Linked DNA regions of Rhinolophus ferrumequinum. The protein of the gene in region 2 interacts with the protein of the main gene of each other region in a pairwise test. Links are inferred from orthologs where the notes say so. Each region holds a gene or a part of one and is shown on either strand. Other genes may lie near its edges.

The links.
Region 1: the proteins of AP4B1 (region 2) and ZNF576 interact in binary tests that used the Homo sapiens proteins (3 or more experiments, as listed by UniProt). The two-hybrid records come from large-scale screens. The link is inferred for Rhinolophus ferrumequinum from reciprocal best matches to the Homo sapiens genes AP4B1 and ZNF576.
Region 3: the proteins of AP4B1 (region 2) and TEPSIN interact in binary tests that used the Homo sapiens proteins (3 or more experiments, as listed by UniProt). The link is inferred for Rhinolophus ferrumequinum from reciprocal best matches to the Homo sapiens genes AP4B1 and TEPSIN.

Annotation. Positions count from the first base shown.
Region 1 is NC_046298.1:40,635,774-40,643,714, forward strand, and holds the start of ZNF576 (zinc finger protein 576), read left to right. Parts: upstream 1-4,938; 5' UTR 4,939-5,069; coding exon 5,070-5,098; exon of another isoform or gene 5,099-5,114; intron 5,115-5,147; exon of another isoform or gene 5,148-5,290; intron 5,291-5,459; coding exon 5,460-5,557; intron 5,558-6,968; exon of another isoform or gene 6,969-7,186; coding exon 7,187-7,614; 3' UTR 7,615-7,941. Other genes in the region: IRGQ (immunity-related GTPase family Q protein), read right to left, coding at 871-2,206, 3,505-4,034. UniProt on the Homo sapiens protein: May be involved in transcriptional regulation.
Region 2 is NC_046305.1:44,783,794-44,791,047, reverse strand, and holds the start of AP4B1 (AP-4 complex subunit beta-1), read left to right. Parts: upstream 1-4,184; 5' UTR 4,185-4,203; intron 4,204-4,213; exon of another isoform or gene 4,214-4,271; intron 4,272-4,295; exon of another isoform or gene 4,296-4,447; intron 4,448-4,636; 5' UTR 4,637-4,713; coding exon 4,714-4,826; intron 4,827-5,609; exon of another isoform or gene 5,610-5,772; intron 5,773-6,249; coding exon 6,250-6,474; intron 6,475-6,931; coding exon 6,932-7,062; intron 7,063-7,254. Other genes in the region: DCLRE1B (5' exonuclease Apollo), read right to left, coding at 2,377-2,559, 2,913-3,078, 3,644-3,832.
Region 3 is NC_046304.1:54,242,529-54,249,584, reverse strand, and holds the start of TEPSIN (AP-4 complex accessory subunit tepsin), read left to right. Parts: upstream 1-4,014; 5' UTR 4,015-4,136; coding exon 4,137-4,370; intron 4,371-4,520; coding exon 4,521-4,614; intron 4,615-6,297; coding exon 6,298-6,365; intron 6,366-6,513; coding exon 6,514-6,592; intron 6,593-6,693; coding exon 6,694-6,765; intron 6,766-7,056. Other genes in the region: NDUFAF8 (NADH dehydrogenase [ubiquinone] 1 alpha subcomplex assembly factor 8), read right to left, coding at 1,447-1,557, 1,699-1,782. UniProt on the Homo sapiens protein: Associates with the adapter-like complex 4 (AP-4) and may therefore play a role in vesicular trafficking of proteins at the trans-Golgi network.

The DNA.
Region 1 (7,941 bases), on a different chromosome or scaffold from region 2:
TTTCCGTGGGGCCATTCTCCCCACAACTGCTAGGAAAGGAGTCTGGGTCACCAGGACCCTCGCCCCGATGAGCAAATATGAAATATCCCTCTACTCATCAAGAAAGGCCCAAGTTTCTAGCTGTCACACAGCCCGTTCCCTCTAGATGCAGACCTCCCACTATCCAGGAATTAGGAACCAAGGTCCATAGTCCTCTTGGGATCCAGGAGTCTGAGGACCCATACTGTTCCTCCCCTCTCCCCCGATGATGATTCAAAGCCCACTGCCTCTTGAGGAACTGGGAGGCTGTGTGCAGGCCTATTCTAAGGAAACACAGACCTGTCTCTTTGTGGCTCAAAGTCCAGGGGCTCCAGCGCCCTGGAGTTCCCAGACCCAGTCCTCCATACTGGAATCCCCAGCACATGGAGAGCCCCTTATCAGGAATCAGGGCTTCCTCTCCCCCTCCCCCTGGAGGACTAGACATCCAATAATAGATCCAGTTTCTACTCCCTTGAAGACCAAGATATACCCTCTTCTAGGAGTTCAACCCCTCAACTCCCCTCAGAACACAAGTCTGGGGGTCCTGCCCAGTGATCCCCAGAATAATCAGGAGTCCTGACCTCCAGATTCTATTCTCCTTCAAGACTCAGGAATCCGGGTGACTGGAAGCCACATACCCCAACCAGTAGTCAGAGCCTCATCCCATTCAAACACCCAGGATTTGAAGTGCCTGGCCCGGTGCTGTTAGCTTAGAGGCTCAGATATCCCATGCCAGAGACTGGACCCCCAACCCCCCTCACTCTACACGGGACTTGGAGTCCTCAGCCCCTGGCGGAGCAAAGCAGCCAGGAAGCAGAGCACTCAGGAAGTCCCAACTGTGATCCCTACCCCTCACTGGGCAGGCGCATGGGGTGCCAGCACTGCCTCGGCGTCTGCCAGCATCTCGTCCAGCGCCTGCAGGAGGACACCGTGCGCTGCACGGTAACCCAGGCCACCAGTGGCTGCTGCGCCACCCGCGGGCCACAGGAAGGAGAGCGCCCCCAGCGCTGCGCCCCCAGCGGTGCCCTCGCCTGCCCAGGCACCCAGCCTCGCCTCCACTTCAGCACGCGTTACCGGGCCCGGGAAGTGCGTCTGCTCTGCCAGCTCCCCAGGTGCCATGCCCAGCATGCGCTCGCGTCGGGCCAGCGCCGCTGGTTCGAGTCCTAGTGCCCTCCGCCACTCTGCCAGCTGACCGCGCAGAAGCGCCACGTCGCAGGCCCAGCCGAGCCCGGGTACTGGTGCGGCCGCTGCCGCCAGGCTGGCCAGCAGAGCCGGGCGCCACGCCCCAGCCCGCAGCGCAGCAACCTTCGTTCGGGCTGCGCGCGGAGACATTGGTGGCAGCGCCAATAGCAGCGCCCCAGCCTGGGCCGGGGCAAGTGCGCGTCGCAGCCACTCACAGAGCCCTGGGAGTCCGCCCCGCCGCAGGGGGAACACCGGCGGCGGCGCCTCCTCCAGTACCTCCCATGTATCGTCCTCCGGGCTCCAGGTAGCCGCACGCTCCGAGTCCCCGCTGCGTGATTGCTTCGAGCCACCAACCTGCTGCAAACTCTCGATGCCTGCTTTCTCTGAACCTTCCCCACTCCCTGCTTTCTGTGATCCAGTGCCCCGTTTCTCCCTTCCCTCGCTGCATTCCTCCTCCAACCCCCCTCCGTCTGCGTTCTCTAGGCTCTCGCCCCCGCCGGGTTTCTCTGCCTTTTCCTCCTCTTCCAAAGGCTCCGGATCCTTGCCCTGGCCGTCTGTTCGCACGCAGACCAGCGGTGCATCCGGTAGCACCAAGGGCCTGACCTGGGCCCAGTCCTCCTCAGTGGGGGCCCCAGGAGTAACGAGGATGACAGCGTCATAATGGGTAGGGTGGGGGACAGCAGCAGTGCCCGCGGAGCCGAGAGGTACGGTCCAGAGCACCACGTTGGAGCGCTCTGGGGCTGGGTAGGGCGTGGGTTCCGCGGGCAATGAAACAGGCACGGCCCCTGGGTCCCCAGGATCCAACCCAAGCAGCATGTTCAGCACAAGGCCCACGTCAGCCATGCCGGCCACAGCCAGGTCCAGCCGCGCGCTGCCCAGTCGCTCCAGGCTACCGCGAACCCAAGACAGTGCCGCCTCCAGACCACCGGTCTCAAAGGCTTCGCGCACAGCCTCCAGCTCTGCTGCGCCCAGCACCTCGAAACCATCCTGAGCAGGTGGCAGGAGCCTACGGGGACAGGAAAGGATGGAGTCAAGGGCAAAAGAGGCTAAACGCGGGAGAACTAGGCTAGGGGGACAGGACTGGGCTATGATGACAAGGGTGGAGCTTTGTGAATAATCCCCGCGTGAGGCAAGAGCAGGAAAGGGAGGGAGGGGGTCGAATAATGGCACAGCCGACAGAAACCAGGACTATAAAGAAAAGGATAGGGCTTAAAGCAGGAATAGGGCGTCTTGTTGAGATCAGGTTTCTCACAGAGCCTAAAACCAGGACCCCGCCTAAATCCTCCCGGAGACAGAGTACTTGGGGGCGGGGCTTCTCCATGGGACCTGCAAGGTTAACAAAAAAAGGCCGTGCTGGGCGAGGCAAAACACACAAAGTGGGCTTTGGAGCAAAGACAGAATCCCAACTGTATTGTGGGCTTAATGAAAGTCGAGTACTATTCACTATTCGACATGGGCAAAGTCACCAAGCACACTTTTTCCTGAGACTGGGTGTAAGGAAAGGAATAAAGACCAGGGGAGAAGCCTCATCTGCTAGTTCCTACCAAGGAGGTGTGGCTAAGGAAAAAAGAGAAGCAGTGGGGTGCCGTTGGAGGAGAGGTTGCCTTGGAGGAGGGGTTGCCCCTCTCCCACCCTCATTTTTAATATCTATGAAATGAGGGGACTGCGTGTTGTGGGAGACAATTCAGGAGGTAGCCAGCAAGAAGGCACAGAAACAAGAGGGGATTAGAAAAAGGAAGTGGGGGAGAGCACCCAGAAATAACAAGGCTCACTGAGGGTGTGGCTTTGGGCGACTGGGATGGCTTGAGAACCAAGCTGACAGCGCGGGCAAGGAAGACTTGACAGTGTACAAGTCTTTAGGTAAAATCTTCACGAGGGTCACTAGCTTGTGGTGGGAGGGTGAGCTCTCCTTCAAACTTTTGCCTGGAGGTAGTATTTTGGCCATAGGTCCTGGTTTCTCCTAGAATATTCATTAGGAAGTGGGGCTTGTGACAGAGCGCTCACAGGTGGGACCTGGAATGACAAGTCCGGACCTCCAGCTGGCCTCTGGCTAGGGCCGGGCCTAGATGACAGAAGAGTTAAGCACAGAGCGCTCGCTTGGGTGGAGCCTCACTGACCTCAAAACCTGCGCTGAGGGGCGGGACCTGGATGCGGGAGCAGGGCCTCCAGCAGGTATCCCGTCAAGGCTAGTCCCAAACTCGTTGGGGGCGGGGCCTCGCAGACGTCAAAAATCACTTCAGTGGGGTGAGGTCTAGACTGTATAGGACCAGGTCCCCCCAACCCACACTGAAAGGCCGCGCTCACCTCTGCAACGCCTCCGCCTGGCTCCGCAAAGCTCCCCGCAGGCGCTCCAGCTCCTCGCAGCTGTCGCTGCTGCCGCAGTCCGTCTGCAGCACGAAGAGAGGCGCGGCTCCCAACCCCGTGCTGTTCAGCAGGGCGGCTGTCTGATCCCGGGCCTGGGCTTCATTTTGTGAATCCCCAGGACCGAGGTTCCGCACAGCCAGCAGAGGGGTCCCTCGCGCCATGGCGGCCCGCGCTGCTTCCCCCAGCGCTGGAGCCAAGGGTTCGCCATTTCCCCCGGGGCCGGGCAGCACCAGTACCAGCACGTTAGCCTCCGCGGCCCAGGGCCCCGGAGCTGCGGGGGGGCAGCTCAGCTCGCCCAGGAAGAGGCCTGGGCCCGCAGCTCGCAGGCTGGGGACCCCGGGATCCGGCCGTCCATCGGGGATATCTACCATCTCCACATCCTTGTTGCACAGCGCTGCGATCAGCGCGGACTTTCCCGAACCCGGAGGCCCCAGGAACAAGGCGGTCACGTCACCCCGCGGCGGAGGCATAGCTGGGAAGCAAGGGGTGAGGAAGACCCAGGTCAGGAAGACCCAGCCATTTTCTTTCCTAGTCCTCCACCCTGCCCCCTTCCTTCCATTCTCGATTGTCACTCCCAAGGATCTAGAAAACCGGCGCCCAGACCCTATTCCCCAGGGACCCCGAGTCCTATCCAGGCCTTTTCCTGGATGTGTTTCCCCTTCTGTTTCAAAAACTCAGAAATCCGGCCTCCAGCCCCGTCCTCCCTCAGGGACAGATTTTTTTTTTTTTTCAGTCCCCCTCGCCTCCCAAATCACCAACCGAGCAAACAGCCTTCACACAGAAGAGCGCAGTTGCCGGCAGTGGGTCAGCGGCTGAGAAGCCCGCCCCTGGGTCGGGCGGACAGAGGCCGAAGAGGGTGGAGCACCGGGATTTGGGGATGTCTAGACAGGATCCAGGCTCTATCTAACCTTACGTCACTCCTTTTAGGAGGTGTGTCTTGGAAGCATGATCTTAGGGACACAGCCTTTCCCAGCGCCTGCGCAGAACGACCGAAGTGCACTCGCTCCTGAACTCCGGCTGCGGCAAGGGCGGAAACAATGAGGGAGCCAGAGCGCCTGCGCGCCAGGAGCGCCTAGCACCCTTGCGCAATAAACTTAGAGCTGTACGGCACGGGGGTCTCGTAACGTCATCATAACGCACCCCTGTGCAGAGAAGGACCCCTCCCGTTATTTTTGAGGACTGAGTAGGAGTGACTTCATCACTGCCGGTTGGCAATCCGAGATCTCGGCTTCGAGAAGCTCACCAGGCGAAAGGGAGTGGAAACCACCGGGACCTTGCGACTCGGTGGGCCCTATCCCGCTTCCCTCCGGGTGGTGGCGCTGTGACAGGCTACTGACAGGCACAACGAAAGGCAGCCCTCTGCTGTCTGGAGAAAAGCAGAGGCCTGAGCTACCAACCTGGGGAGGGAACCGAGGGCAGTGCTTGAAGCAGTGGGCACAGCGGCTGAAATCGCGCGTGGGAGGCGGGGGCTCTGGGTGGAACAAGTTGCAGGATGTCAGAGAAAGATGTCTCCCGGGACGAGGCGGGCTAAAGCGTGGGTACCACTACCTGTCTCAAGACAGGTAGGAGACGGGGAGGAGGATGGTGTCAAAGATCAAGGGTTCCGCGCTCTGAATTCAGGGAGCTAGTCTGATGTAGGTCTTAGGTCTCACACAGGTGAGATGGCGCTCAGGGGAGTCACAATCTTTTGGGAGAGTTGAAGCTTCTCTAGTGAGAGCTCCATCAGGTCAGAGTTCAAGGAAATGGTATCTCGCGGGGAAGGGGGGGAGTCAAAAGCTGGCACGGAGAGCCTCTACATTAAAGGTCATCGAATTAGCGGGCTCTCTAAGGCTGGGGACAGACGAGCGACTTCATTTGATTTACTATTTCCTCATGTGTACTCCTCTCTTGACCAGAGGGGTCCTAGTCACCATGGAGGACCCACCCCCTGAAGAGACCATGGAGCAGCAGGATTTGTCCAAGAGGAGTCCCCGCAGTACCAAAGGCGACATCTGTGAGTACAGCTGGCCAGAGGAGGGTGGGGTGCAGGAGCTGATGCTAAAAGGATTTCTACAGTATTTCAGTGTCCAAGGCGCTGCAGGCACTTGTTGGGGAGCTGCCTTACCAGAAACTGACACTCCCCATCCTTACCCATATGCTCAGATGCACCCACCCTGCTTTGTCCACCTAAATATGAATGGAATGCAGTTCAGAGGGGCAAAGTGGCATCCAGAGACGCTTGGGGTGGGAGATGTGGCACGGAAAGAGCAGAGACTGTGAGAAGAGCCCCAAGGTTCCAGTCCCAACTCTGCCTCAGACTGTCAGTGTAACATGGGCCTTGGTTTCCCAATGTGTCAGAAGGGGTTCCACTACTCACCTCACAGGGTTGTTACGGGGATTAGCAGCAGAACAGAGGAAAGCTTGAGGCTAATGAAGGTAGCCAGTTTGACATAATCATGGCAACAGTTTCTACTGAATGTTTGCTGTGTGCTAGGCAACTATCACTCCTTATCTCATTCAGTCCTCCTAACAGACACCATGAAATTGGTTATTACCACTTTCAGATGTGGCAAACAGGTTAAGTATTTATAACAATGACAGCCAGTGTCAATGCCCTCCAGCCAAAGACCCCCTCCCCCCGCAGGAGCACACCCGTAGTGGGACAAGTTGGGTTTATTGCTTGCTCACTGCAGAGGAAGCACACACCACACACCATGGGGGCACTGTGGGGCATCCCAGTAATAGTTACAAAGGACTGATTATAGGATTTGGGTTTGTGGTAGGTGATTTTGCGGAGAATTCAAAGGGTTTTGCTCTGGATTGGATAGTGACAGGAAGCAGGGGCAATTGAATGGTCGGCTATCTTAAAAAATCTAGAAGGCAGAGGAACAAAGCAAGGCACAAGCTGTGATTGGTAAAGCAGAAGTCACTCATATATTAGCCAGGACGGAGGGTATTTGGTCATTTTTGTGGCTTGGAAAATGTTCCCATTTTGTGTTCACATGCTATCATGGCATGGTCTTGTTGTCTGGATTCATGTCAGTCAGAGAGTAGCCTTTCTGGGGATGTTCTGTGACATTGTGTATGTTCAACAGGAGCCTATCTGTGAGTGCCAGGCCGGCTCCTGGCTGTGGGGCTGCTTTTCTCTTTCTCAATAGTAAGAATTGCAAACCATGGTGTATGACTATTCTAAGCACTTTACATAAATTCATTCATTTATTCCTCACAACAACCCTATGAAGTAGATGCTGATACGGTTTAACCCCATTTTCCAGATGAGGAAACTGTTGAACCTGCCTAGGAAGTAGCAGAGCCAGGATTCAATTCCAGGCAGTCTGGCTCCAGAGGCTGTGCTGTAAATAACACAGCTCTGATGGAAGGGCAGACTCCCTGGGTTCCAGTCCTGACTCCATTTCATTTCCTAGCCTCATGATTGTGGACAAGTTGCCCAACCTTTTGGAGCCTCGGCCTGATCATCCGTAAAACAGGTCCAATAATAATTTGCCTGTACCACTATCCAGCCCTGGCATACAGCCTGGCACATAGTAAGCACTGAATGTTAATTGTTGGCATGATTCTGGGGTTTGGGAGAGGTCCTGGAGACTCCTGCTGGCCTCCCCCGACCTCTCCCCACGTCCCTCAGGCCATCTGGGGGCCCTGCAATGCACCCGCTGCCTCATCACCTTCGCCAATTCCAAGTTCCAGGAGCGTCACATGAAGCGGGAGCACCCAGCGGACTTCGTGGCCCAAAAGCTGCAGGGGGCCCTCTTCATCTGCTTCACCTGCGCCCGCTCCTTCCTCTCCTCCAAGGCCCTGATCGCCCACCAGCGCAGCCACGGTCCAGCCGCCAGGCCCTCCCTGCCAGTTGCACCCACCACTGCCCAGCCCACCTTCCCCTGTCCTGACTGTGGCAAGACCTTTGGGCAGGCCGCTTCTCTGAGGCAGCACCGCCAGGCGCACAAGACCCGCGACCCTCCTGGCCCCTTCGCCTGCACTGAGTGTGGTCAGGACTTTGCCCAGGAAGCTGGGCTGCATCAACACTACATCCGGCATGCCCGGGGGGAGCTCTGAGTGCAGCCTCAGCCCTCCCTAGGGCAATGGAGGCTCTGCAGCCAGTGGGACCCACCTCTGATATGGGACAGGCCTTTTGAGGGACTTGCTTCCCTCCCTGGAAAGGCAAAGGGCTCCTGGTAAATAGGACCCAGAAGATGCTCATTTAGAGTTTCAGTCTTTGGAGGACACAAAGACCTTCAGAGTAATAGGAAAATCAGACAATAGGGAGATCTTTTGTTTAAGAGAAAAAAAATGAGCAAGAGGGAAAATTGTTATTTGTATCTCCCTCATTCCCAATTAAATAGTTTGAACTCACAAGTAGCTGCAGATTGTGTAATCACCTTT
Region 2 (7,254 bases):
GAGAATGAAGCTCTCAGGAAATCCTAATACTTCAACCAAACAGTTAACAAAAATACACAAAATTAACAGGGCAATCAGTCCATCAGGGAGAGGATGGCATTTGAGCTGAGCTATAATATATGGAGAATGGGGTAGAGGGAGGTTAACACAGAATCCACTCATTCATTCAGTTCAACAAAGGAAAGTATCTAGCAAGTGTTAAGCAGTGTGAAAACAAAAAGTCTCAGTCCTCAAGGAGCTAATCGACATGGGAACCCAGAAATCACGTGGTTAAGGGCAATGTTAATTAGAGACATTCACACAGCATGATGAGGGCACAGAAACGTATCTACCCATTGACAGAGGGAAAGTTTCCTGAAAATGACAACTGAGCTAAGTCTTAAAGGATGGGTCCAACTTAACCTGGTAGAGAACATTTGGAGAGAGGTCAGTTTGGTGTTACTAAAGTACAAAGAAGGTACTGATAAGAAATGCCACTAAGAGGGGTCATACAATACAGGGCCTTTATGTACTGCTAAGGAGCGTGGACTTAATTCTGTAAGTGAAGGGGAACCACTGAAGAGTCTGAAGCAGGAAAACGGCTCATTCAAATCACAGGAATAATATAATCAGGGTGTTGGGGGGAAAAAATGTGGCAGCAGTGTTATTCAATGGTCTCGAGAAGAAGACACTGAAAGCAGAAGTACCAGTTAGGAAACCCACACAATACTTATACAGAAAAAAAGGGAGGCCTGAATTTGGGTAATGGTTACGGTAACAGATATGGGAGATGTTGTTTCACAGTTGTTTTCAGGCCTTTTCTGGAGGTATGTTTCAAGTCCATAACCAGATTGTGAACTCCTTTAAACAACTTATACTTCTTTTATATCTACCTGATTCTTCATCATGGCACGAATATAGCTGATTTTCTTTTCTCTCTCCCTATTGCGCCCCCTCCCCACCTTTTTTTTAAACCTCTTCTAGGTCCTTTACCACTAGACTGTAAGCCCTCATATTTTATTCATCTTTCTAGTCCCATTGCCTATCAGAATACCTGGCACATAGGAGGGGCTTATTATATATTTGCAAAATTAATAAAGCCCTACTACAGCACCCTCCTAGCCAGCTGTGCTTCTCTGGGAAAACTCTGCATTGAAAACTCTAAGAATAGGGTGGTGAACACACAATGGGATTTATAGATGATGTAATACAGAATTGTACACCTGAAATCTATGTAATTTTACTAACAATTGTCGCCCCAATAAATTAAAAAGAAAAGAAAACTCTAAGAATAGTTAGCAGTCCTGAGAGGAGGGGATATTTCTCAATTAATCTGGTAGCCACCCTGGAAGGTGTACAATTTTTTTTCAATGACTTTGTTTAACTCTACTTTGAAACTCCTTCCAGAGATGGGGCATATACTTTTAAAATATTCATCGTGGCGCAAATCTTTTTCCTTTTGTGGATTTATTATAATTTTGTAAACAATAAAAAAATTTAGAACTAGATCTATTACATTTTTAAAAACAATAATTGATTTTCATAAACTATCTTAAAAGGCAATTCCAAAAGAAGAGTCCCCAAAATGTCTTGTACTATTGTGGAATTACTAGAACAAGCATACGGTTGGGTTTTCAGTGTATCTAATTTTAAGCACAACATTGACTTGAATATCTACATACTGATAAACTCCATTCACTCATAGCAAATACTTATGGAATGCCTCATCAGCCATTAATCTAGGCATTTGGGATATATCCGTTAGTAAAACAAAGAGCCCTGCCACTGTGGAACTTACAGTCTAGCAGGAGGAGGCAGATAATAAAAGCTAAATACAATAAATACGTAAATGATGGAATCCCTTGTAAGGTGACGAGTGCACTATTGTCCCTCTGTTACTGAAATCAAAGCTCTTTGTCCTAAGAGCAATGGTTGCATTTAGGATCAAGTTCAAAAAGTCTTACAAGCACTTCAGCCCCTCCTGCCATTCCAGCCTCCTCACCCACTGTGTGCCTGTCACACTAGCTGCTGCTTCTCTTCTACAAACACACAAGGCTTCTTCCCACCTCCACCCATGCTCTCAAGGACTTTATGTTGGGGTGTGTGCGTGCCACGGGAAGTGGGGATAGACAATAGCAATAGCATATTAAAACACAGAGTATGTGGGAAGGTGACGAGTGCTATGAACAAAATCGAACTGATGCAGGGGATCAGAAGTGGGGGCTGTGAGCGTAGGGATGGTAGACAGGTGGCAACTTTAAATAACATGGTCAGGGTAGGTTTCGTGAAGAACGGGAGAGCTGCACAAAGCCTTAAAAGATGTGAGGACTCCCCATCTGCCCCCAAACCTAGATGTACTAGCTGTGGGTGAAAAAAACAGGAAAGAAAACTACTCACCAATCTTTACATTATGTTCTGGGTGCTTTCGAATGAGCTCGACAATCTGGCGGGCGGCTTCTTCTTGGGAAGGAAGAACCAGAGCTGGATTGCAATTGGTGTTGTCTAGGTATAAGGTATGGATCTGTTTCCCCACGCTCAGGGCTGGCTCCTTTAGCATGGATGGTGTATATCGAAAATCACCTGAAAGAATATATGGTGTCAGAGGGTCAGAGACAAAAGTATAAAACACAAGGCTCTCCAACAACAGATGGGCATTTGCTTACTGGCCTGTGGAAAGCTATCCTAGAGTCTGGTACTGAACAAATACGTAGAGTACAGCTTCCTTGTGGATATGTCTCCATCTTGCTCCTGTTTTTTTCATACTCATGACAAGGTTTGGACCCTTAAAGAGTGGGAATTCAGTTAAGGAATGGAATGGAATGCTTGCATGGAATGAAGCTAGGAGACCTCTAGACATCTATTATGAGTTAAGGCTGCTCAAGAAAAGTAGTGTCTAAGTGGGGAAGGTAGGAGGGACCCCTTCAGAGGCCCACCTGTGTAGAGGATGGTTCCAAAGTATCCTTCAAAGAGAAACATGACAGAGCCAGGGCAGTGGTTGGCATCCATTAGGGTTACGGTCATGGTCTCTCGCCCAATTTCATCTAGAGGCAGGACATGGCTCTCACCAACCTCCAGGGCTCGGATCCACTGCTTAGATACCTGAGGAAATAAATAATTGGTCATCCCGTCAACACAGATTCCCCTCCCTGATACCTCCCTGGCCCAGAAATTATCCCTTTCCGAAATCAGGGAATGCTGACCATCTAGACAGCGATTCTCAAACTTTCCTTATCATAATAATACCTTGGGGCATCTTTTTTAAAAATTCCAACCATATTTCCAGGACCGGCACCAGCTATTATCTACTTAATCGCAAGTGGGAAGAGACGAAGTGCTGGAGAATCTGTATATCTACCCAAAACATTAGATGAATTCTTGTGATGCCGCAAGTTTGGGAAATCCTGGCCTAGCTTATGTGAAAAGGTGGAACGAGTTTCCTTAGTTGGACTAGAAGATCTCCCTAACTTACAGCTGTAACATCCCAGCCTGCCAGTTGGAAGCCACACTTCTATCCTGGGCTAAAAATGCAATTCTGGGTTCCAACTCCCGCATTTGTAACAATCAGTCCCTCCTGGTCCATAGGACTCCAAGGCAGTGACAGATCGGCAGTCCCCACCCTGATCCCTAGACCAGCGCTCGGAGGCCGACTCCAGCCCCCCCATACCTGTAGGTGACGATGCAGGAGGAAAGCAGTGATTGGGGAGCAGTAGAGGGGTCGGGCCCAGGTGCTAGTCAGCCCCACGGTGTGGTCCGAGTGCATGTGGGACAGAAAGAAAAGCCGTGCGGAAGCAGCCCGGCGCAGGCTCCAAAAGTCCACAGCGATGGGCGTATGGGGGATCTGGACTCCGTTCATGGTGGCGGCGCTGGAACCACCAATGGGGTCTTCATAGGAATAGAGCTCCTGCGTGAGCCTCCTACAACGGCCCTGAAAAAAGTCACGCTGTGGCAAGAACAGGCCCAGAGAACCTAAGGGAAAGCCAGCCCAAAGAGGAATCAGTCACTAGAATGTGCAGAAAAAAGAAGGAAGTGCTCATGCTTAGTGGAGTCCGGGGGTGGAATCGCACGCCGCGGAAGTCGCTCAGTAGAGCGCCATGCCTAACCGCGCGCGGGAGCCGGAGCCCTCCACTCAAAGCGCGCGCGGCCGGGCGGAGACAGGCCGAAGCAGCCGATTTCCGATCGTCCGCTGCAGCTCCACTAGAGGGAGCTACGCGGCTGCGCCCGGAGGTGAGAGGTTGGGGGAAGGGCACCCACAGGTCGGGGCCCAGGCTCCGCTCGGCGCTCTCTGGGAGAGGGTGAGTGGCAGCAGCTCTGCGTGGTCTCTCGAAGAGGAGGCGGGACTTCCGCAGAAAGCGTCCTTTGGCTTATCCGTGACGGCAACCGCGTGGAGGCACCCCAAAGGCTGGAACTGAGAGGGAGGGGTCTGCGGACGGTCGGCTGCCGGGCTGGGAATTGAGCGGGGGGCCTAAAGGTAGTGCGAGAGACCTGTGGGTGGAGCGAACCGGCCGGCAGGTCCCGGAAGGAACCGGAGGGCCTAGGGTGGGGCCCGCCGGGGAGCGGAGGGGACCGAAGCTTGAGCGTGGCCCATCCCTGGGGAAGCCACGGCTGGGGCGAGGTCACGGCTGTAGTCTCTTCTCTGACTGACATTTCCTTTACCCAGGTTCTTACATCGGGGCTGGAAGGAGCCCACGAGTTTCCTAGGGGGCTGTGGGGATTGCCCCGGGCCTGTCCGAGAAGATGCCGTACCTCGGCTCCGAGGACGTGGTCAAGGAGCTGAAGAAGGCTCTGTGCAACCCTCACATTCAGGCTGATAGGCTGCGCTACCGGAATGTCATCCAGCGAGTGATTAGGTACCACCCGACGCCCTCACTCCCCCGCTGGGGTCCCATCGGGGCTGTCTCACCTCACGTGGGAAAATGAACTTGCACACGTGCCAGTGCTATCGTTTGGTTTTCCTGCTTCCCTGGAGTGCCATCTCAGCCTCCCTTGTGAGACTTATTTTTTGGCTTCGTTTATTCATCTGGGTGGTTTCATCCATATCTCACACTGCTGACTCTCAGACCGATAATAAATATATCTAGTACAGACCTCCTTTTTTATCGTCAGACCCGCACATCCTACTGCCTGTTGGGCATTTCCACCTGGATATTTTTCCAGAGACATGCAAAATAGCACCCACATCCTTCCCCCTCCCCAAACCTGCTCTTCCACTTACGATTGTGTTGACGAATGTCACCACCTAGCTGACCAAGCGTGGGAGTCAATCTTGATGACACCTGATCTTCACTTCTCAAGTCAGATGGCATGGATTTATAGTTCTAAATACCCACCCCCGCCCCCCTTTTTCGACACTGCTGCCCGTCCTGGTTTCATTACCAAAGCAATTGCCGTAGCATACTAGTAGGTCACATTGCCTCCTCATTTCAGTCAGGATGATTTTTCCAGCGTATAAATCTAAACATAACATGTCTGGCCTCCTGTGGATCACAAGCTTCATTGTGCACCAGAGTCCTTTGGGGTGCTTTTTTAAAAAACGCAAATTTGTCATCCAATCCAGTAATTCTGATTTCAGTACGGCGGGATGGAACCCAGGGATCTGCATTTTAAACAAATATCCCATCTGATTCCTATAGGAGACCATAGTTTGAGGAACCGTGAGCTACAGAATAAAGTCCAAACTTATCGTAGCACCCAAGGGACACTGGGCTAACTCAGCTGCCTGCAGACTTTCCAAAGAATTGGACCATTCTTGCTCGCGTCTACGCACCTCACAGCATGTACTATCACACCTGCCTGGTGAGCTCCTGCTCATTCAGCTAAAGTATTACTTCCTCTGTAGAAACATTGTATGACTTCCTGGCAGTAGTAGATCTCTGGATCCTCACTGCCTCTGTGACTTCTGTCATAGTACTTATGTAGCGTACTGTAATTCGTGGTGGTCTTGTCTGGCTCCTTAGTAGACACTGAGTTCCTAGAGATCTGAGACCGTGCCTTTTTCAAGATTATGTCCCCAGAGTGTAGCCCTGGAGTGTAAAAGCTGAATTTCACTGAAATATACTAGAAATTAATAAGTGTTCTTTGAATAAATAGAAGGCCGTTTATTGCAGGCCTTTGGTGTTTTGTGTAATATAGTAGACAAGGTAGACCTGGTTGCTTCCCTCTCAGAGATCACAATTGAGTTGGATAACCAGGACGTGAATAAAATAAAATGCCCTCCGTTGTAGGTTGGGAATGAGGTATTTTACTTTTTGCTGCTTTATGTGTTGGTCTCAGGCACATGACTCAGGGCTTGGACGTGTCTGGTGTTTTCATGGAAATGGTGAAGGCGAGTGCCACTGTAGATATCGTTCAGAAGAAGTTGGTTTATCTGTACATGTGCACGTATGCCCCCCTGAAACCAGATCTGGCTCTCCTGGCCATCAATACACTCTGCAAAGACTGTTCGGACCCCAACCCAATGGTGCGAGGGCTGGCACTACGGAGTATGTGTAGTCTCAGGTGAGCATCCTTTTCCTGTCTGTTTCTTAGTGGCTGATGAATTCTGGAGGTCATGGGGCAGGTTTTCAGTAATGACAGTCTACGTGAGCTCCTTCATAGTGGGGGAAACACTGTTGAAACCTGAACTCAAGTTTTCAGCCATTGCTTTGGCTTAAAAAGCTGTATCATATGGTTTCATTAAAGGGAGTTTTCCATTCTCTAGGTGAAATAGTTTTTGGTTTTGGTTGAAGATATCTAAACAATTTATGTATGTTTTTTTCTTGCTGCCGATGCAGCATTATTCCAAATGAAAAGTCAAATACGGCTTTTTAAGTTTGGCAGCGGCTTTCTCCAATTCTTCATGATCTTATAGATGCACATTCAAAAATCTCCTAAATCCTCTGTTAAGTGCACAGGGGCTGAATTGTGTCAAAACTAGTATTTCAGGATCTGGCTGACTCTCGGATGTGTTGCTTAGGATGCCGGGTGTGCAGGAATATATCCAACAGCCTGTTCTCAATGGTCTGCGGGATAAGGCTTCATACGTCAGGAGGGTGGCAGTCCTTGGTTGTGCCAAGATGCATAATCTTCACGGAGAATCTGAAGTGGGTAAGTTTCAGTGTAATCCATCCTGATCAATACTTATTTGGCCTTGCACATTTGTAAAATATTACGTAGCCTTGGTAGAAAATAATAATGTAGCCCTATTTCTGTGCATGTCTCTTTAAGGAGGATGCAGGGCTTGGTATTTTCTGAGATTAGAGAAATCCTTTCTTTGGGGCCCAGGTGAGATCCTTTGCC
Region 3 (7,056 bases), on a different chromosome or scaffold from region 2:
AGGCAGCCCTCTGGCATGTGCGGCTGCCTGGGGCTCCTCCCTCGGATGTCTTTAGGGGATGGAGGCCGAGGAGCGGGAGGTAAGTCACGTGACCAGGCACCTGTAACAGGTCACTCCTGACTGCCCACAACAGGTGGTGCAGAAAGACCTGTGTGTAGCTACGAGTGTTCGACCTTTGTCTCACACGTGAAGCCTTCCCACCGGTAACCATAGAGCGAGGTCTGCCTTGTTCCCTGGGGAGGGCTACAAAGCAGGGAAGCTACCAGGAGGTAGGAGCAAGTTCAAGGGACAGGTGCCACCTCGGATAAACAGCCACATGGATGAGGCTGGTGACACGGTGACTGGAGGGGGCAGGACAATGCGCTAACCACTGAGGAAGGTGCGTGAGTTCCCTGAGCCCCCCGGGAAGTGAGTATGTGAACTGCCTCCCTGAGCTGGGAAGCAGACATCCATGTGCTCTCAGCCATTCTGCTTCGGATCCCGGAGCAGCAGCAAACTGCCGGGACGCGAGTGCTGCCCAGCCAGCCTCTGCCCTCACAGCCCCCGTCTGACCCACCGAGCCAGGGGCACCTGGGGTGGGGACACCTGGGGCGCATTAAAGCCTCAGGGCAGGCAGCCCGTCCTTGGGCTGTGGGACGCCCCTTGAGGGTCCCCGGACAGCCTCTCCCGCCTCGGGTCACGTCCGTGTCTCCTCCAAGCCTATTCCTCCACGTCCTTTATGAAAACGTGTAAACACAACACGTTCTTGACTTGCCTACAGTGCTTGAGGATTTCCACAAGGCTTTCGCTGGCATAGCATTTGATCAGACAGGGGTCAGAAAACGTCCTGGCTGAGAAACAGAAGGGACCTGCTGTCGAATGACCGGGCAGGACAGAGTCCAGCGCCAAGAGAAGGACCAGTCTGTTTCCAGCACAGTCCACTTCCACGCCAGTGAAAGCCGGCTAGCGCGCTGGTTGGAGGGCTTCTCAGCCCGTCCTCACCTTGGTTGTGAGGACAATGACCTATGGGCTCTCCTTACACCCTCTGTAAAATGGGGTTGTTGCGCGGGGGAAGTTGGGGTACCACGCAACCCCTCGGCAAGCACTGGGGTACCAGCGGTTGAAACCGCGCACACAGCACACACGCGGGGTGCTGAACACCAATGACGCTAACGGTGCTCCGCTGGGAGTCCTGGGTTGAGGTTGGTTTGGGCTTTCCCCCCAGGCGACAGCACCACAGGGAGTTACAAAGCGCTTGCACCCACGCCGTCGCCCCGTCACCATGCTCATGACATGCACGAGCTCCGTGGCGGCGGGGGTCGCGCGGCGAGGGCTGGTCGGTCGGCGTGCAGCGTCTGAAGCACCAGCGAGCACCCAACACCCGCAGGAAGAACGGGAGGAAGGCCAGCGGATCCCTCCCCCGAGGCGGGGCTGAGAAGTGGGAGACGGCGGGGGGCGCCCACCTACCGCGGCGGCGAAGCAGCTCCGCAGGGCCTCGAACTCCTGCGCGCAAAGATCCTTCCTCAGGTGGCCGCCCGGAGCCGTGGACGCCTGCACGCACCTGCCGTAGGCCGCTGCCTGGGGGAAGGACGGGGGCGGGCGAGGGTCGCGGGGGCCCTCGCGCCTGCCCCCAGTCAGCGCCCCGCTGTCCGTCCCGTCTCGCGCGATCCTTCCTGCGCCGCAGGCATTACCCCCCACCCCACCCCGACGGCTCCTTACCTCGCGCCCACAGGCCGCCAGGTTCTCGGGGAAGGCGCGGAGGCGGCTTCGCACTCGCCCCCACACCACTCCGTTCCCGGACATGAGCGGCTCTTCCTGGCATCCGTGGGCGCCGCCATCTTGGGTCCGTCCTCTTCCGGCGCTCAACAGCTTGATAGGTCGACGCTTCCGCCCATAACTTTCCCTACGCTTTCTAATTGGCCAGGCTTCTGTCAGGAACCGCGCGTGTGGTCCCTTAGAGCCTTACAATTGGCTTGTATGCTTGTCTGTTTTTGATCTCGGACTTCGGATTGGTTCAGGCTCAAATTGTTTACCGTAGTAGACCTCAGGGCCCGCCCACGCGAGCGATTGGTGAGCTGGGCCAGACCCACGCGGTGATTGGAGGAGCCCGGGGACGGACGGAAGTGGGGCGGGGCCGGAAGGTGACCGTGATCATGGCGGCTACGCCGCAGCTGCGGGACCGCCTGAGCTTACTGCACCGGGTGAGTGCGGGCGGCCTGGCCCTGCTCCGTGCCGCTTCCCCCGGCTTGACTTGGGCTAGAGCTGTCTTTCTCCTTGGTGCGCCGGGATCACCGAATTGCGGCTCCTCCCGGGTTCGGCGTCCCCTCCGTTTTCCTCTGATCCCCTTCTCTCCATTCCAACTCTCCCGGCCCCTCCAGTCCCCTTTACCCATCACCCCCTCCCAAGGCTGCGGGAGTCGACTCCGTGTACGTGGCGTGGGCAGGTCAGGCCGACCCGGCGTCAGGTCCACTGGGGGACAGTCAGGCTACTGAACAGAACCCGAATAGGAAGAGAGCTGGGGGTCGCGGATTTCTGTTTTCTTTCCCAGCTTAAAGCGGCTTCACAGAGAGAAGCACAGCGAACCGTGTTCAGGATAAACAATGGCCAGGCGCTAGTCTGGGAAGCAGGAGAAAACAGTGACTGTGCCCGTGGGGGAAGGCGCTGAGCTCCGTTCCCATGTGTTTCAGAGGACTGGGCGTTTTAAAGGGAGAATGAGGGGAGAGTGGGGCTCCCGTGACACATGTTGAGGGGCTGGGTAGGGTGAGTGCTGTCAGGCCAGCTGTGTCCGCCCACCAGCGGTTACGGAGGTCCGGGTCCTATCGCCCCCCAGGGACTGGGAGACAGACCCTGCCTTCATGGTGGTTCAGGTCCTTGAGGAAGGCGCTCCTGGCTTGTAGGACATCCGTGTTCACAGCTGTAAGCCCTTTCCAGTAAATGCTCCAAGAAAGGGAGGTCGCGGCTTGTCGCCCGGTGTTGGCCAGAGTGAACAGTCAGTTCTCCTGGCGCGAGGAGCTTTCTCAGGCAGGCGTTTTACAGGGGCTGGGGTCATCCTCGTGCTGCTAGAAGCCCGGTCAGTTCTCTTAGCACAGAGGCTTTTTTCCACGCCCAGAGTTACGTGGTTCTACAGACCTCTCCAGCTCCACGGTGGGTCTCGGTGGACAGATGGTGTGAGTGGTGTGTGCCCGCAGCCTCGCGTGACATTCAGGCGCGTGTTGTTGTGACACTGTAGACAGCTGCTGTTCAAACTGTAATCTGTGGCAGCACCTAACAGTCTGCATTCTGAGTGTCCCTGAGGTCTTGTGTCCTCTCTCACGCCGAGGCTCACGCTCCCCAGCTGATTTTCATCCTTGGAGACAGTATGTCTTTGTGCTAACGAGTCCACGCGTCATGTGAATATGTTTGTGCTAACAAATAAACGTAAGACACAGCATAGGCACTTCTTGTGGGTTATTTCTGTGGGGTCTGTTCCCGGAAGTGGAATTGTTGGGGGGGGGTCAGGCCTCGTGGATATATCACGTTTGCCGATCTGTGCTCTAGAAAGATGGACCATTCCCAGTCCCCTGCATGGAAAAGGGGCTCACCCCGAGCTTTTTTGTTTTTGCTACATGAGAAGTAGATGTATTCAAGGTGCCTTTAAAATGTCTTGCATGTCTGTAAGCATAGAGGCCTGGGGGCCATGTCACACATCCTGACCCAAGCAGAGTGGTGTTACCACGATGGTCCAGAAGGGAGGCTCCAGCAGGCTCTTTGTGGCTGTGGGACCATTGCTGTCCTCGCCGGGGCCTTAACCAGGTGGCGTGCCAACAATGACATACGTGGAAATCCATACTCCCAGGAACCCCAAGAGCTAGGACTCCCAACAGCCCTTCAGGAATGGCGGCCTCTTTGGTGGCTGTGGGGCCACCCTGTGTACAACGGTCACTTATGGGCGGGGCTCTTGCTGCCTTTCAGCTCCCGGTTCTCCTAAAGGGAACGTCGGATGATGACGTCCCGTGCCCGGGCTACCTGTTTGAGGAGATCGCCAGTATCCTTCCTGTGTCCACACATGGGGGCCCAGAGCAGCACGCAGGGTCCCTGGGGTTCTCCCATCCGGAGGGGGTTCCATGGCCCCTTTCCCATAGTAAAGGTGTGGGCGGGGTCTGAAAGCCACATTCCTGATGACGGCCCAGGACACTGTAAAGCGTGACGCTCCTAAAACCAGGTCCTGGGATGGGTGCCTGCAGGGAGGGCACACTGAGAAGTTCAGCGGCGGCGAGGCCTGGGCTCAGCTCGCTCCTTCCCTAACCGAGCGCCTCCCAGAAATCTCCCACGAGTCCCTGGGCAACAGCCAGTGCCTGCTGGAGTACCTTCTGAACCGTCTGCACAGCGGCTCCGGCCGCGTGAAGCTCAAGGTGAGGCGGTGAGTGGGCCCTGCAGGCTGATCCTCGCGGCCAGGTCGGGCCTGAGCTCCGGCCCGGGGCCATGAGGAGCGAGGGGGTGGTCGGGCTGTGCCTCGAGGCGCCCTCGGGGCCCAGCCCAGCCCCCCGTGACTGTGCCCGCAGGTGCTGAAGATCCTGCTCCATCTGTGTGCTCATGGCTCCTCCTCCTTCCTGCTCATCCTCAAGCGCAATCCCGCCTTCATCCAGGAAGCTGCAGGTGTGGGGGCCGCACAGCCCAGAGGGAGGGCCGCAGGGAGAAGGGCGGCCCGGACAGGCTTCAGCCAGACTCCCTTAGCCGGCCACCTCACCCTGTTCCGCCAGCGTCTGCCTGCCTGCCCACCTGTGGGCACTCCTCTCCGCCCACCATCCCGCTCCTCCAGGGCATTGCCGTCTGCTGCTGTGCCCGCTACTGGCGCATCATTACCGTTTCCATCTGTGCCCTGCCAGACTTTGCACATCTGTCCCCAGTGCCTGGCACGCAGTGGTGCTCGGCAAACGGCTACACCGCCCTCCCCTGCCATGGGTTCTGTCCCCGGGCTGCCCCTAAGGGCCCGAGACCGAGGGCGAGCTAGTAAGCCTTCCGCTCACAAGGGAAGGGCCATGGGAGGCTGGTCAGGAGAGGTGGGTGCTGGCCGGTCACGTTCCAGGCCCTAGGTGGGTCTGAGTGGGGCCCCATCCCTCACGCCCAGGCCAGGACCGGCGTGCTGTCTTGCCAACAGGGACTTGGGGGCCCGTGGCTGGAGATCTCCCAGTTGGTGGGGCAGGAATCGGCCTGGGGCCCTCTAGGGGGCGCTCCGCCCTCGGACCCCATCATGCACCCTGAAGGAATCTTTGGAAGGGCCAGAGCCACCCTCACCCGAGCCGTCCCCGTCCCCGAGAGGGCAGCGCCAGGGAGGGGCCGGGCCGCTGTTGACCACCGCTCGCTTATCGGAGACCTGCAGCTGACCGTGGTTCTTTGTTGGCACCAAAATCTGTCCAGTTACCATCGGTGCCCATGAGCTCTGAGCATGGCCCCAGGGGCTGTCAGAGCGGTTGGGGACGAGGCTAAAAGAGGATGGCCGTGCTCACACAGGAGGGCCGAGCGTCTGGGCCCCAGCAGTGGGTCCCCTGCAGCTCGAGTCTTGGGCCCTGTGGGGAAGGTGGGAGCTGTGGCTGGGACAGCAGGGAGCTGCTCGCCTTCCACTGGCTGGTTCGGCCTCTGACGGGCAGCCCTGGCTGGGCACGGGCCGTCGTCTGCACTCCGTGGGGCTGGCACCAGGGGCTGGGCAGGGACGTGTGTTTGTGATGAGGAAGCAAGGAGCCTGAAAGGATGAGGCGGATGAGGTCCCTGCAGAGATGGGGGCCTCCGGCGTGTGCAAAGGCCCCGAGGCAACCTGATTGGCCACAACGGAAGCTTTCTGACGGGGAGCCTGGCAAGCCTGAGGTTGGCGCAGGGCCACAGGAGTCTTTCAGGCCGTGATAGGAACTTGGGGTTTTATCCTCAAGTCCCTGGGAACCCCTAACGGGTTTTGAATTGGGCAAGACCCCATTCGTGTCGCCTCTGGCTGGAGAGAGGGTTGAGGGGAGGCAGTTGGGTGGCCGAGGCAGAAACGCCGGGGAGAGGCAGTGGGGTGAGAAGACGCCGTGGTGCCGTTCTGGAAGTTGGATCCTGGCCTCGGCCTGTGGGGGCGGGCAGAGAGGGCCAGGGGGCAATGGTGCGTGTCTGAGAAGCCACATGGGGCGGTGGGTCTCAGAGGAGGTGTTCTGGGAAGTGGGGCTCCCCCAGGCTTGGGGGCCTGGAAGTGATGTCACACGGGATTCAAGGTCAGACCTAATGTTTCAGAAAGCTCACCCTGCCGGGACGCAGGGAGGGCTGACCTGGGCGGGCCGTAATGCTGCCCCTCCTGCCTCTGCCCTGCAGTTTTCACTGGGCCCCCGGACCCTCTCCATGGGAGCAGCTTGTACCAGAAGGTGCGGGCGGCCGCCCAGGTGAGCCGAGGACCCAGGTCACCCCAGCTGCACTCCTGCTGTTGGACCAGAGCCCCGTGTGTGGCTGGCGCTTGGGGAAAGCGGCAGGGTTGTGGGGGCACGCTGGGCAGACGTGCGGCCCCGCTGAGTGCCCTTGCCTCCTGTCTAGGACTTGGGGAGCACCTTGTTCTCGGACGCCTTGGCCCCTCCGCCTCCCTCCCAGTCTCCCAGGGTCCTGCCTCCAGCAGGTATGTGACCCACCGTGTGCAGGCCTGTCACGGGCTTTCCATCCTGGGGGCTCGGGGTCTTCCCCCGCCCCAATGCCAGGATGACGTGCGCTCTCCCACAGGCATGGGCTCCCAGTCCAGACCCGAGGGCACCCTCCAGGGCTTCGGCTACAGCAAGGATCCAGGCCACACAGGTGGGTGAGCGTGGGCGCTCGGGTGTGGGGCTGGGCCCAGATGCTGCCTCAGCCCAGGGGCGTGGAGGGCAGGGCTAGAACCTGGCACCCCCGTGTTGACTCCCGCCACCTTGCTCGGCTCTGCGGGAGGGCAGGGCACGTACAGCCGGGTCTGCCTAACCCACAGGTGAGGGCTCAGTCCTGAGCTCAGGCCCGTAGCCCCTGGCTCCTTGGAGGGGGTAAGGGCAGAGGGTGGGGGCTGCCTGTGACAGGTGACTTAGAGCCAAGTGGCATTTGTGACACGGACACCAC